Linked DNA regions of Stegostoma tigrinum. The protein of the gene in region 3 interacts with the protein of the main gene of each other region in a pairwise test. Links are inferred from orthologs where the notes say so. Each region holds a gene or a part of one and is shown on either strand. Other genes may lie near its edges.

The links.
Region 1: the proteins of arl6ip1 (region 3) and snx15 interact in binary tests that used the Homo sapiens proteins (3 or more experiments, as listed by UniProt). The two-hybrid records come from large-scale screens. The link is inferred for Stegostoma tigrinum from reciprocal best matches to the Homo sapiens genes ARL6IP1 and SNX15.
Region 2: the proteins of arl6ip1 (region 3) and snx10b interact in binary tests that used the Homo sapiens proteins (3 or more experiments, as listed by UniProt). The two-hybrid records come from large-scale screens. The link is inferred for Stegostoma tigrinum from reciprocal best matches to the Homo sapiens genes ARL6IP1 and SNX10.

What each region holds. Positions count from the first base shown.
Region 1 is NC_081395.1:12,627,496-12,631,350, reverse strand, and holds the start of snx15 (sorting nexin-15), read left to right. Parts: upstream 1-1,002; 5' UTR 1,003-1,009; coding exon 1,010-1,108; intron 1,109-3,293; coding exon 3,294-3,326; intron 3,327-3,855. UniProt on the Homo sapiens protein: May be involved in several stages of intracellular trafficking. Overexpression of SNX15 disrupts the normal trafficking of proteins from the plasma membrane to recycling endosomes or the TGN.
Region 2 is NC_081355.1:56,549,442-56,553,296, forward strand, and holds the start of snx10b (sorting nexin-10B), read left to right. Parts: upstream 1-856; 5' UTR 857-914; coding exon 915-973; intron 974-3,239; exon of another isoform or gene 3,240-3,277; intron 3,278-3,855. UniProt on the Homo sapiens protein: Probable phosphoinositide-binding protein involved in protein sorting and membrane trafficking in endosomes. Plays a role in cilium biogenesis through regulation of the transport and the localization of proteins to the cilium.
Region 3 is NC_081376.1:54,011,292-54,015,146, reverse strand, and holds the start of arl6ip1 (ADP-ribosylation factor-like protein 6-interacting protein 1), read left to right. Parts: upstream 1-1,268; 5' UTR 1,269-1,336; coding exon 1,337-1,378; intron 1,379-3,855. UniProt on the Homo sapiens protein: Positively regulates SLC1A1/EAAC1-mediated glutamate transport by increasing its affinity for glutamate in a PKC activity-dependent manner.

The DNA.
Region 1 (3,855 bases), on a different chromosome or scaffold from region 3:
TTCCATTATTTTTCTCCCAAGTTGTAAGATTGTGGATTCAAACCCAACCTTGGAGACTCTTGGGCATTATCCAATGTAATGATTATTGATTGACCTGCGATGTTAAGACTGCTTCCCTCCACAAACATTGCTGGCTGCCCTTGGGTTGGTCTGGCAATTTTTTTTTCTTAGTTTTGATTTGCAGCACCCACTTTTGTGTGGCTAAGACTGAGCAAGTGCTGCTGTGTCAGAGGTGCCATCTTTGATGTTGTAAAGACCGTGTTGCATTCGGCCTTCACAAGCAGGTGGGAAAGATACCAAGGCCAGTGGCTGATCCTGGCATCTTGGGCTCAATATGTACCCATCAATTGTCATCACTTCCAAAGTAATGCAATTGGATGTGGAAGGAGCTACAAAAACGGAAGGTGGCTTATGGGTTAGCACTGCTGCCTCACAGGGCTGGGAACCTGGGTGCAATTCCATCCTCGGGTGACTGTACAAACTCCACATACAAATCCTTCCCGTGTACAGGCTAGGTGGATTGGCCAATGCAAAATTGGCCCATAGTGTTCAGGGATGTGCAGGCTAGGTGGGTTAACCATGGAAGATGGTGGGGTTAGGGTTGGGGTTTGGGTTACTGAGGCGTGCTGTTGGTAGGGTCAGTGTGGATTCGATGGGCTGAATGCCGTACATTGATTCTGTGGGAAAAAGTGGGAAGTGGGCTGAGCAGCTGAATTGGAGGTCACCTTGTGTCTTTATGGGGATGAAGCTGGGCAAACATGTTATTGGGAAGTTATTGCGAGTGAAGGAGCTGAGTGTAGTCTAAGGTGGTTATATAGAACAGTGCAATTGGCATTGACCCTGACAGCTGTGGGAGGGGCCTGCTGTGCGCCTGCACCCACACGGCAGTGGGCGTGTTCAATTCTGCGCCTGCGCACTAACGGCGGAGGGTTCCTCCCGGTGCTGTGGCTGCGCCCCAGTGGTGATGGGCGGGGCCGGTGGAGCGCCTGCGCTCTGGTCTGCACTCAGGATGTCATGGAGGAGGGGAAAGGCGGACGAAGTCCGGTACCGAGTGACGGAGCCGCGGCAGCACCCACACGGCTACACCGAGTACCGGGTCACCGTCACGGTAAGGGGAGACTGCAACCTACCAGCGGGGAAGTAAGGAGAGCCTACATGACCCCTTACCTGGGACCCCTGACACTGCACCCAACCCCAACCCCTTACCTCAACACCTCATCCCTCCCTCACCTTCCTAACCAAAGTGACTCCTCAGCCTGACCCTCAGCGCTGAGGGAGTGGGCACTGTCGGAGGGTCAGTGCTGAGGGAGTGGGCACTGTCGGAGGGTCAGTGCTGAGGGAGCGCCGCACTGTCGGAGGGTCAGTGCTGAGGGAGCGCCGCACTGTCGGAGGGTCAGTGCTGAGGGAGCGCCGCACTGTCGGAGGGTCAGTGCTGAGGGAGCGGGCACTGTCGGAAGGTCAGTGCTGAGGGAGTGGGCACTGTCGGAGGGTCAGTGCTGAGGGAGCGCCGCACTGTCGGAGGGTCAGTGTTGAGGGAGCGGGCACTGTCGGAGGGTCAGTGCTGAGGGAGCAGGCACTGTCGGAGGGTCAGTGCTGAGGGAGCGGGCACTGTCGGAGGGTCAGTGCTGAGGGAGCGGGCACTTTCAGAGGGTCAGTGCTGAGGGAGCGGGCACTTTCGGAGGGTCAGTGCTGAGGGAGTGGGCACTGTCGGAGGGTCAGTGCTGAGGGAGTGGGCACTGTCGGAGGGTCAGTGCTGAGGGAGTGGGCACTTTCGGAGGGTCAGTGCTGAGGGAGTGGGCACTGTCGGAGGGTCAGTGCTGAGGGAGTGGGCACTTTCAGAGGGTCAGTGCTGAGGGAGTGGGCACTGTCGGAGGGTCAGTGCTGAGGGAGAGGGCACTTTCAGAGGGTCAGTGCTGAGGGAGCGGACAGTGTCGGAGGGTCAGTGCTGAGAGAGCGGACAGTGTCGGAGGGTCAGTGCTGAGGGAGTGCCACACTGTCGGAGGGTCAGCGCCGAGGGAGCGGGCGCTGTCGGAGGGTCAGCGCCGAGGGAGCGGGCGCTGTCGGACGGTCAGCGCCGAGGGAGCGCCGTGCTGTCGGTGGGTTGGGCGCCGCGCTGTCGGTGGGGTCAGCGCCGAGGGGACGCCGTGCTGTTGAAGTGCCAGTTCTCAAATGAGATAAATGATTGATTTTTTGTCACATACATCTCGGGAGACACTGAAACATTTTATGTCGTCACACTCTGGCACGATTGTTAAGAATAAAAAGGACGTAATTAGATCGAGTTCACCTTCATTGGCCAGGGTCCGAAACACTGCTCCAGGACTTCTGTACAGTCCCTGATCTGGGTCTCCCACGGCCTGGAGTCTCTACGCTCGTCACCAGTTGCAGCCTCAGTTGATGACCTGCTGCTGCGGAAGGAGTCTGCGTTCCAGGCCTACAGCAGCCAGGCGCCTTCGTTCTCCCATTGTTGATGCCCTGCCAATTCCAGGTGTCCGGGCATTGGGCCCTATGAGCCAGGAGTCACCCCCCCACGCTGTTGTAGCCTTCTCGTGGTGTTGGGAAGGTGAAGAAAAGACAAAAAAGAGAGGGAGAAGAAGAATGCCGCTCAACTGGAGCGGATAGGCTGTTCCCGAGCGTTGCTGTCTGTGCCAGCACTGCCCTTGTGATGTGTAATGATCGAAGATGTTTAACAGCTCGTGGAAGGATGTGAATAATCGTTTGGCTGTGATTGAAGGAGAGCAGGATCGGACGGGATTGCGAAGAATTCTCTGCAGTGTCCAGAGTCCGATACTTATCCCATAATGAACATCACTGAAAAACACGTGGCCTGGTGACTTCTGTGACACCATTTGGGGGAGCTTGCTGTGGGCTACTCGGCTGCTGCATTTTCTCCATTCCAGTGGCATCCATCCTGTCATGAAAGTCAGCATTGACAAGGAAGTGCTGTTTTGGAATGTGGTGGCACAGTGACAGGCAATACAGAAGTGCACCTCTTTGCTTTTGTTCCCAGAGCCTTGAGGATAGTGTGTATTGGGGGGTGGGTGTGGTGGGGGGGGTGGAGCTCGATAGAGCTCTCGGTCCATCGGAAGTCCCTAATGCAGAGGTGTGCTGACTGACGGACAGGAACCTTTAATAGCAGCGTGAAGTGGGATGTTTGGCAGGGGACTGTGATTCCTCACAGCTAGTGGGTTGGTTATCTGCATTTGGGGATGCCTCAGCAAGTGTGTTTACTCCTACACTACACCTCTGTGACCTGTACTGTTTGTTCTTTCTACACCCACTCCCAACTACAGATCTTTTCCAAGAAGACTGCAGACGTCAAAGAGGTAAGTGCAGGTGTGAGGATTCAAGTCTGGCTGTGTACAGGCGGAGGAGGTGTGGGTTGTAGAAGTTGGGGGCAAGGCATGTTCAGCTCCTCAGGCTCTGGTCTCTTGTCACCAAGCCACATCCCTCAACCTACCTGTTGCTCGCAATCCGCCAATCTGGGTCCAAACCCAGATCCTGCCCACCCCCCCAACCACCCCATTCGACTTGAGGGAGAAGATGTCACATCTCCTCAGAAGGGCTTAGCTGTCGTTTTTAAAGTTCTGATCCTGACGCAACCTCGTCCTGGCTTTCCCTCACCTCAACTCCCATTTTATTCTGTTCCCGCCCCACCCCAACCACTAGACAATATAATTTCTCTCTGTCAGCCCCTTTGAACATCTCAAACCCTCGATTGAATTCCTCCACCCATCTGCCCAATGTAATTGCAAAGTGCTGGAACTAGCCAGAGAGGGAAGTGTTTTAATGAGTCAAACCTTTTGGTTTGATTTATTGTTGCCATGTGCACCTAAGTACAGTGAAAAGTTCTGT
Region 2 (3,855 bases), on a different chromosome or scaffold from region 3:
AACTAATTGGGAAATTTGATATTTCATGAGAAGTCGGCAGAAAGAAAAGAGATAACAAAGTGTAGAGCTGGATGAACACAGCAGGCCAAGCAGCAGCAGAGGAGCAGGAAAGCTGACGTTTCGAGCCTAGACCCTTCTTCCCCAGCACCTACAGTTCCTACTATCTCAGAAAGAAAACAAGTTTTATTCTTACTGTTTCTGAAAAAGACTGTCAACTGTGCAACGAACTGCGTCATCAAACAATGGCACGTTGAAGAACCGAAATCTGCATTTCAGAAGCAAATACTTAAAATCTGTACAGCCATGCTGTACCGCTTTAAGTATTTGGCTTTGCCTGAGTAAAGGGCGGAAGTAGTAGCAGCGCTGGGCTGAGAAGTTGGTCATTGTCACGTGACTGGGATGATCCAGTCTAGGCACGAAATCGAAAGGAGCTTGGGCTGGCTTTAGTCAGTGGCTTGGTGCAGTGGAAAGGGTCCAAGACAACTCAGGGTCTTGGTGCAGTGGGCAGGTGAGTGAAGGACGGCTGCTGGGAGTGGGCTGGCTGAAATTGACAGCCGAACGTTGATGTGATGTGTTTGTAACGATTTCACGCCAGGGGCGCAAGTTGCAACATGCGTTCCTTTTTAACTGGACAGTCATTTAGAGTCATTCAGCGTAGAAACAGACTCTTTAATCTAACTGACGCGCAATGTTCGTTTAGTATCTCCCCCATCACCTGAGGATAACCCCGCCAACAATTGGGGGAGGGGGAATGAATCTGAAACGTGAATATTAGCTTTATAACTTGTCAGTTTTAAATCTGTGCCATTCCGACTGATCACCGAGATTGCTAAATATTACTCTCGCTATTCGACAAACCAGAAAGAAATCTGTTCCTAAACTAAATTGGTCCCACTTGCCTGCGTTTGGCGTACATGCTTCCAAATCTTTCCTATTCATGTACTTTTCCAAATGAGAGACCTCGTGGAGAAAGGTTAGTTATTACCAGTTAGAGTTGTAGTTTTTGACAAGTCTGCTTTCTTTCCCCTTTTTAAACAATATCCGCACTGTCAAACCGAGTGCATCCTTATTTTCATTTTCCTTTCGTCTGTGGCCCTTGGCCTTTTCCTTTCCGTTTGCTAGAATGCTGGCAGCTGAAATTTGTGTATTGATTTTTAAGTGACGGTACCAAGACGCATACTAAACGACTAAGGAAAACAGAAATACTGGAAATACTCGGTCTGTCGGGATTTCCAATGGACAAGTGTTGATATTGTTAGGCTCATCAGGTTCCTGCCTTTTGAATTTACCGTTTCCTCAAATAAAAAACACCGAAGTAAATGTAGAAGTTGACTGGAAGTGCCAAGGTCCAATATCACTTCTTTGTGATTTCGGACACAGTATTGAGACAAAACCATTATGAGGAGGATGTGAGTCATGCCAAGAGTGAGGTATCCTGTGTAAGCAAAGACAACTTTTTGATCGTTTTTCATACTTGGCGATCTCAGTGATCAATCATAGTGGCACAGATTTAGACCTAGATGATTGGAGAGTGGCAAATGTTATTCCCTTGTTCAATGAAGGGAATAGGGATAACCCTGGGAATTGCCGACCAGTCAGTCTGTCTTCTGTGGTGGGCAAATTACTGGAGAGGGCTCTGAGAAACAGTATTTATGATTATTTGGAAAAGCACAGTTTGATTAGAAATAGTCAGCATGGCTTTGTGAGGGGCAGGTCATGCCTATATGGATTTTAGGTATATGGTATATGGATTTTAGGAAGGCATTTGATAAGGTTCCCAATGGTGAGCTCATTCAGAAAGTAACGAGGCAAGGATTCAGGAAAATCTAGCTATATGGATACAGAATTGGCTGTCCAATAGAAGACAGGGTGGTAGTAGATGGAAAATATTCAGCATGGACCACAGTGACCAGTGCTCTTCCACAGGGATCTGTTCTGGGACTCTGCTCTTTGTGATCTTTATAAATGACTTGGATGAGGAAGTGGAAGGGTGGGTTAGTAACAAAAAAAAGTTGCTGGAAAAGCTCAGCAGGTCTGGCAGCATCTGTGAAGAAAAAAAAGAGTTAATGTTTCAGGTCTGGTAACCTTTCCTCAGTAAGTTTGCCTATGACACAAGTTTTGGTGGAATTGTGAATAGTGTGGAGGGCTGTTGTAGGTTGCAGCAGGATATTGACAGGATGCAGAGCTGGACAAAGAAGTTACAGATGGAATTCAACCCAGAAAAGTGTGAAGTGATTTATTTTGGAAGGTCAAATTTGAATGCAGAATACAAGGTTAATGCAGGATTCTTGGCAGTGTGAAGGAACAAAGGGATCTTGGGGTCCACGTCTGTGGATCTCTCAAAGTTGCTTGCCAAGTTGATATGGTTGTTAAGAAAGCATATGTGTTTTGGCTTTCAGTGGCAGGGGATTTGACTTTAAGAACTGCGAGGTTATGCTGTAGCTCTATAAAACCCTGGTTAGACCACACTTGGAATGTTGCGTTCAGTTCTGGTTGCCTCATCATAGGAAGGATGTAAAAGCTTTAGAGAGGGTGCAGAGGAGATTTACCACGATGCTGCCTGGACTGGAGGGCAGGTCTTATGAGGAAAGGTTGAGGGAGCTAGAGCTTTTCTCATTGGAGCGAAGAAGGAGGAGATGTGACTTGATAGAGGTGTACAAGATGATGAGAGGCATAGATTGAGTGGATGGCTAGAGACTTTTTCCCAGGGCAGAAATGGCTATCATGAGGGGGCATAATTTTAAAGTGATTGGAGCAAGGTGTAGGGGAGATGTCAGAAGTAGGTTCTTTACACAGAGAGTAGTGAAGTCAGATACATTACGGACATTTAAGCAACTCTTGGATAGGCACATGGATGATATTAAAATGAAGAGTATGCACGGTAGCTTGATCTTAGAGTAGGATAATAGGTCAGTACAACATTGTGGACCCAAGGGCCTGTACTGTGCTGTGCTGGTCTACGTATAAAACACACAGGCTGTGACACTGCCGTACTTGTTAAATTCCCATTTCATATTATTCACCACGCCCTTAAAGGGCCGGTGAGGTTATCTCTTCTGTGCAGTTCCAATGACACACAAACATCGTTGTACTAATCGATGAATCCAGAAAGTTGTCAACATCAACAACTTGTGTTTGTCTTGTCATTTATTGTACTCTAACTCTCTGAGGCATTGCATAAGAATGTTACTGACTAGAATTGGATAATGAATTGCATGAGGAAATATGGAAATCTTGACACGGGGAAGTCCATTGCCTAGAGCTTTAATGACGTATGGTATGTGTCCCCATAAATGCCATGTGATGGAGTGATTAACATCAGGGATGCTCAAGAAGCTGATATTGTCACTTGGAAGTTTGTTCGGTTGATGAGGATTACAAAGATTGGAAAAGCAAGGCCATGGAGAAAATTGGAAATAAGGAAGACAATTTTAAGATCGTGTTGCTTAACCAGAGAGCCAGTTTAGGTCAGTGGGGTCCAAGGCAATGGACAAATGGTGTAAATTACATGATATTGTTTATATTTGGAGGAGCTGAAGTTTGGGGGTGGAACGTGAGAGATTGACTATTCCTGTGCACTCCTGATCAAAATGTTACAGAGGTAAGAAAGGCATAATTAAAGGTAAAAGCAAATATTGCTGTTACTGGAGATTTGAAATAAAAAGAGAAAGTTCTGGAGAGACCCAGCAGGTTTCTGTCAGCATCAGTGTCAGCAAATGAAAGAGAAACAATTTACAATTGAGACCAGTGACTTTCTTTGGAACTCATGGTTCTGAAGAAGAAATGTCGGAATCAACATTAACTCTTTCTGTCTCCACAGATTCTGCCATAACTGAGGGTTTCAACAGCAGATGA
Region 3 (3,855 bases):
ACTGTACAGGCATGAGAAAACACTGAGCGCAGCAGAGCGAGCAGCTTGACGTTTTGGGTTAAGACCCTGCTTCAGAAATGGGGGAGGGGAAGGGGATTCTGAAAAATAGGGGGAGGTAGATAGAAGATGGATAAAGGAGAAGATCGGGTGAGAGGAGACAGACAGGTCAAAGAGGCAGGGTGAGAGCAAGTGAAGGTGAATGTAGGTTTGGGGGGGGAGGGGGTGGAAATAGGGCTGTCCAGGGAGGATGGACAGGTCATGGGGGTGGAATGAGGGGATTGAGGTGGGAGGAAGGATAGGTTAGAAAGGCGAGGACTAGTTGGGCTGGTTTTGGGATGTGGTTGGGGAGGGGAGATTTTGAAGCTTGTGAAGTCTACATCAATACCCTCAGGCTGCAGGGTCCCCGAGTGGAATATGAGATGCTGTTTTTGTACAGTCACGAGGTTCATTTTGTAACCATTCTCTACGAAGGACGGATTAGAAAACTTCTAAGTGATTCTTGTGGAGTTTACAGAACAGGTCTAAATGAGCAGCCTTAGCTTGAGCAGCATTGGATATGGGAATCCTTGTGTGTAATTTTTTTTTGTAAGAACCGTGCCCTCTTACTATTCTAAAGTTTCATGATCTTCAATGCTCAAATTGTAGTGTTAGTTCACTCTGCTTCTAGAGGGAAGGAAAGAAAATCATGCAAACAACAGCGCTGCACGTGCTGTGGGCCTGTTGACCTATAATGGTGACTACCTGTGTACATGAACACGGTCGCCATCACTGTTGCTAAGAGAATATCTGTGGCTGGATTTCTTGCAGAGACTGTCCTGTACCCACTGCACTTCATGTGGGTTGACTCATACCTGATGGTTTGTATCTTAACCTTTTATAGGAAGCAGAGAGAGATAAGGTATAGATTGGTAGAAGCCTTCCAACTATTCAGATGTTTTGGAAAACTAAACCCCAGTTGCCTTGACTCCTATTCATATAAAATCAGGCCGCCTCTACCTAGCCTTAGGAGTGGGAAATTATTGTAGCCTCTTCAGGAATTTAGGTGCAGGGACTAGTTTGGGCTAGGGGAAGGGGGCGGGGTCTCCTCAGCGGTGGGCGGGCAAGGGGCGTGGCTCCTTGTCCTGTAGGCGGGGTTCGGTCGGCGGTGGGCGTTTCCTGTCCAGGGGACATTCGATCACCGTGAGCAGTGCCACGGCCGGCCAATCAGGCGTGTGGGTACGGCCGGAATTGGTCCAATCAGCAATGCCGCCTGCAGTATCACGTGTGGAGATGCACCATTAGGGTGGGAGCAACCGCGCATGCGCAATAAACGGGCGTCGAGAAGGATCGAGTGGCGATGGCGAGTGGGGACGGAGACAATAAAAGCACCAACCTCCTGGTGAGGGAACTCCACAGCACCACTGTCCCCGCGATGGGGTGGGGGAAACAACATAACTATACCCCGTTATGGGGGCGGGGTGGGGGGTGGCGCGGCCAGACTTCTCCAACACACGTACACCCAGTAGCGCGGGAGAGATGGGCTGGGCTGGGTATGGTGACCGGGGGCTGAGGAGGGGTGGGGTGTGTTGGGGGTATTTGGGATGGGGAGTGTTGGGGGTATTTGGGGTGAGGAGTGGTGGGGGAGGGAGTTGGGGGTATTTGGGGTGAGGAGTGGTGGGGGAGGGAGTTGGGGGTATTTGGGGTGAGGAGTGGTGGGGGAGGGAGTTGGGGGTATTTGGGGTGAGGAGTGGTGGGGGAGAGGGTTGGGGGTATTTGGGGTGAGGAGTGGTGGGGGAGAGGGTTGGGGGTATTTGGGGTGAGGAGTGGTGGGGGAGAGGGTTGGGGGTATTTGGGGTGAGGAGTGGTGGGGGAGAGGGTTGGGGGTATTTGGGGTGAGGAGTGGTGGGGGAGAGGGTTGGGGGTATTTGGGGTGAGGAGTGGTGGGGGAGGGGGTTGGGGGTATTTGGGGTGAGGAGGTTGGGGGTATTTGGGGTGGGGAGTGGTGGGGGAGGGGGTTGGGGGTATTTGGGGAGGGGGTTGGGGGTATTTGGGGTGGGGGAGGGGGATGGGGGTATTTGGGGTGGGGAGTGGTGGGGGAGGGGGTTGGGGGTATTTGGGGTGGGGAGTGGTGGGGGAGGGAGTTGGGGGTATTTGGGGTGAGGAGTGGTGTGGGAGAGGGTTGGGGGTATTTGGGGTGAGGAGTGGTGGGGGAGAGGGTTGGGGGTATTTGGGGTGAGGAGTGGTGGGGGAGAGGGTTGGGGGTATTTGGGGTGAGGAGTGGTGGGGGAGAGGGTTGGGGGTATTTGGGGTGAGGAGTGGTGGGGGAGAGGGTTGGGGGTATTTGGGGTGAGGAGTGGTGGGGGAGAGGGTTGGGGGTATTTGGGGTGAGGAGTGGTGGGGGAGAGGGTTGGGGGTATTTGGGGTGAGGAGTGGTGGGGGAGGGGGTTGGGGGTATTTGGGGTGAGGGGGTTGGGGGTATTTGGGGTGGGGAGTGGTGGGGGAGGGGGTTGGGGGTATTTGGGGTGGGGGAGGGGGTTGGGGGTATTTGGGAGGGGGATGGGAGTATTTGGGGTGGGGAGTGGTGGGGGAGGGGTATTTGGGGTGGGGAGTGGTGGGGGAGGGGGGGTGGGGGTATTTGGGGTGGGGAGTGGTGGGGGAGGGGGGTGGGGAGTGGTGGGGGAGGGGGGTGGGGAGTGGTGGGGGAGGGGGGTGGGGAGTGGTGGGGGAGGGGGGTTGGGGGTATTTGGGGTGGGGAGTGGTGGGGGAGGGGGGTGGGGAGGGGGTTGGGGGTATTTGGGGTGGGGAGTGGTGGGGGAGGGGGGTGGGGAGGGGGTTGGGGGTATTTGGGGTGGGGAGTGGTGGGGGAGGGGGGTGGGGAGGGGGTTGGGGGTATTTAGGGTGGGGAGTGGTGGGGGTTGGGGGTATTTGGGGTAGGGAGTGGTGGGGGAGGGGGTTGGGGGTATTTGGGGTAGGGAGGGGGTTGGGGGTATTTGGGGTGGGGAGGGGGTTGGGGAGGGGGTTGGGGGTATTTGGGGTGGGGAGTGGTGGGGGAGGGGGTTGGGGGTATTTGGGGTGGGGAGTGGTGGGGGGAGGGGGGTGGGGAGTGGTGGGGGAGGGGGGTGGGGAGTGGTGTGGGAGGGGGGGTGGGGAGTGGTGGGGGAGGGGGTTGGGGGTATTTGGGGTGGGGAGTGGTGGGGGAGGGGGTTGGGGGTATTTGGGGTGGGGAGTGGTGGGGGAGGGGGTTGGGGGTATTTGGGGTGGGGAGTGGTGGGGGAGGGGGTTGGGGGTATTTGGGGTGAGGAGTGGTGGGGGAGGGGGTTGGGGGTATTTGGGGTGGGGAGTGGTGGGGGAAGGGGTTGGGGGTATTCCAGGGGAGGGGTTTGTTAGTACTTGGGGTGTGGAGGGCGTGGGGTGGTGGTGGCCAGAGTTTCGGAATTGTATTTGGGACCATGCTTTGTGCAGGGGCCAGTAATGCGGCGATAATGGCTGTTTTCTTTCTGACTTAGAAGAATTGAAAATGCTGTCATTGTATCACATCATTCACAATGTCTTCATGTCACAAAACCTCTCATAGCTTGTTTGACGTGTCACCTCTTGTCTTAATAAAAAGTTACATTCATCTTGAGCAGGTTTTGTCACCCTGTCAACTCAATTGATTGGTTTATCCCTCTCTCTCTCTCGTTTTCGGTCTTGAGCCACAACCTGAGTCTAGGTCAACTCCTCTATCTAGTATGTAGTTTTCCACCTCTGCAATTTGACCTTTTCTGGCTTTCATTTAAGTTTTTGTGAGCTGAAGCCCTCATTCATGTTTGTGGTACATAAAACTCCCAGTGAAACTCACCAGTTCCATCCTGCAGAAATCTGCACTCATCCAAA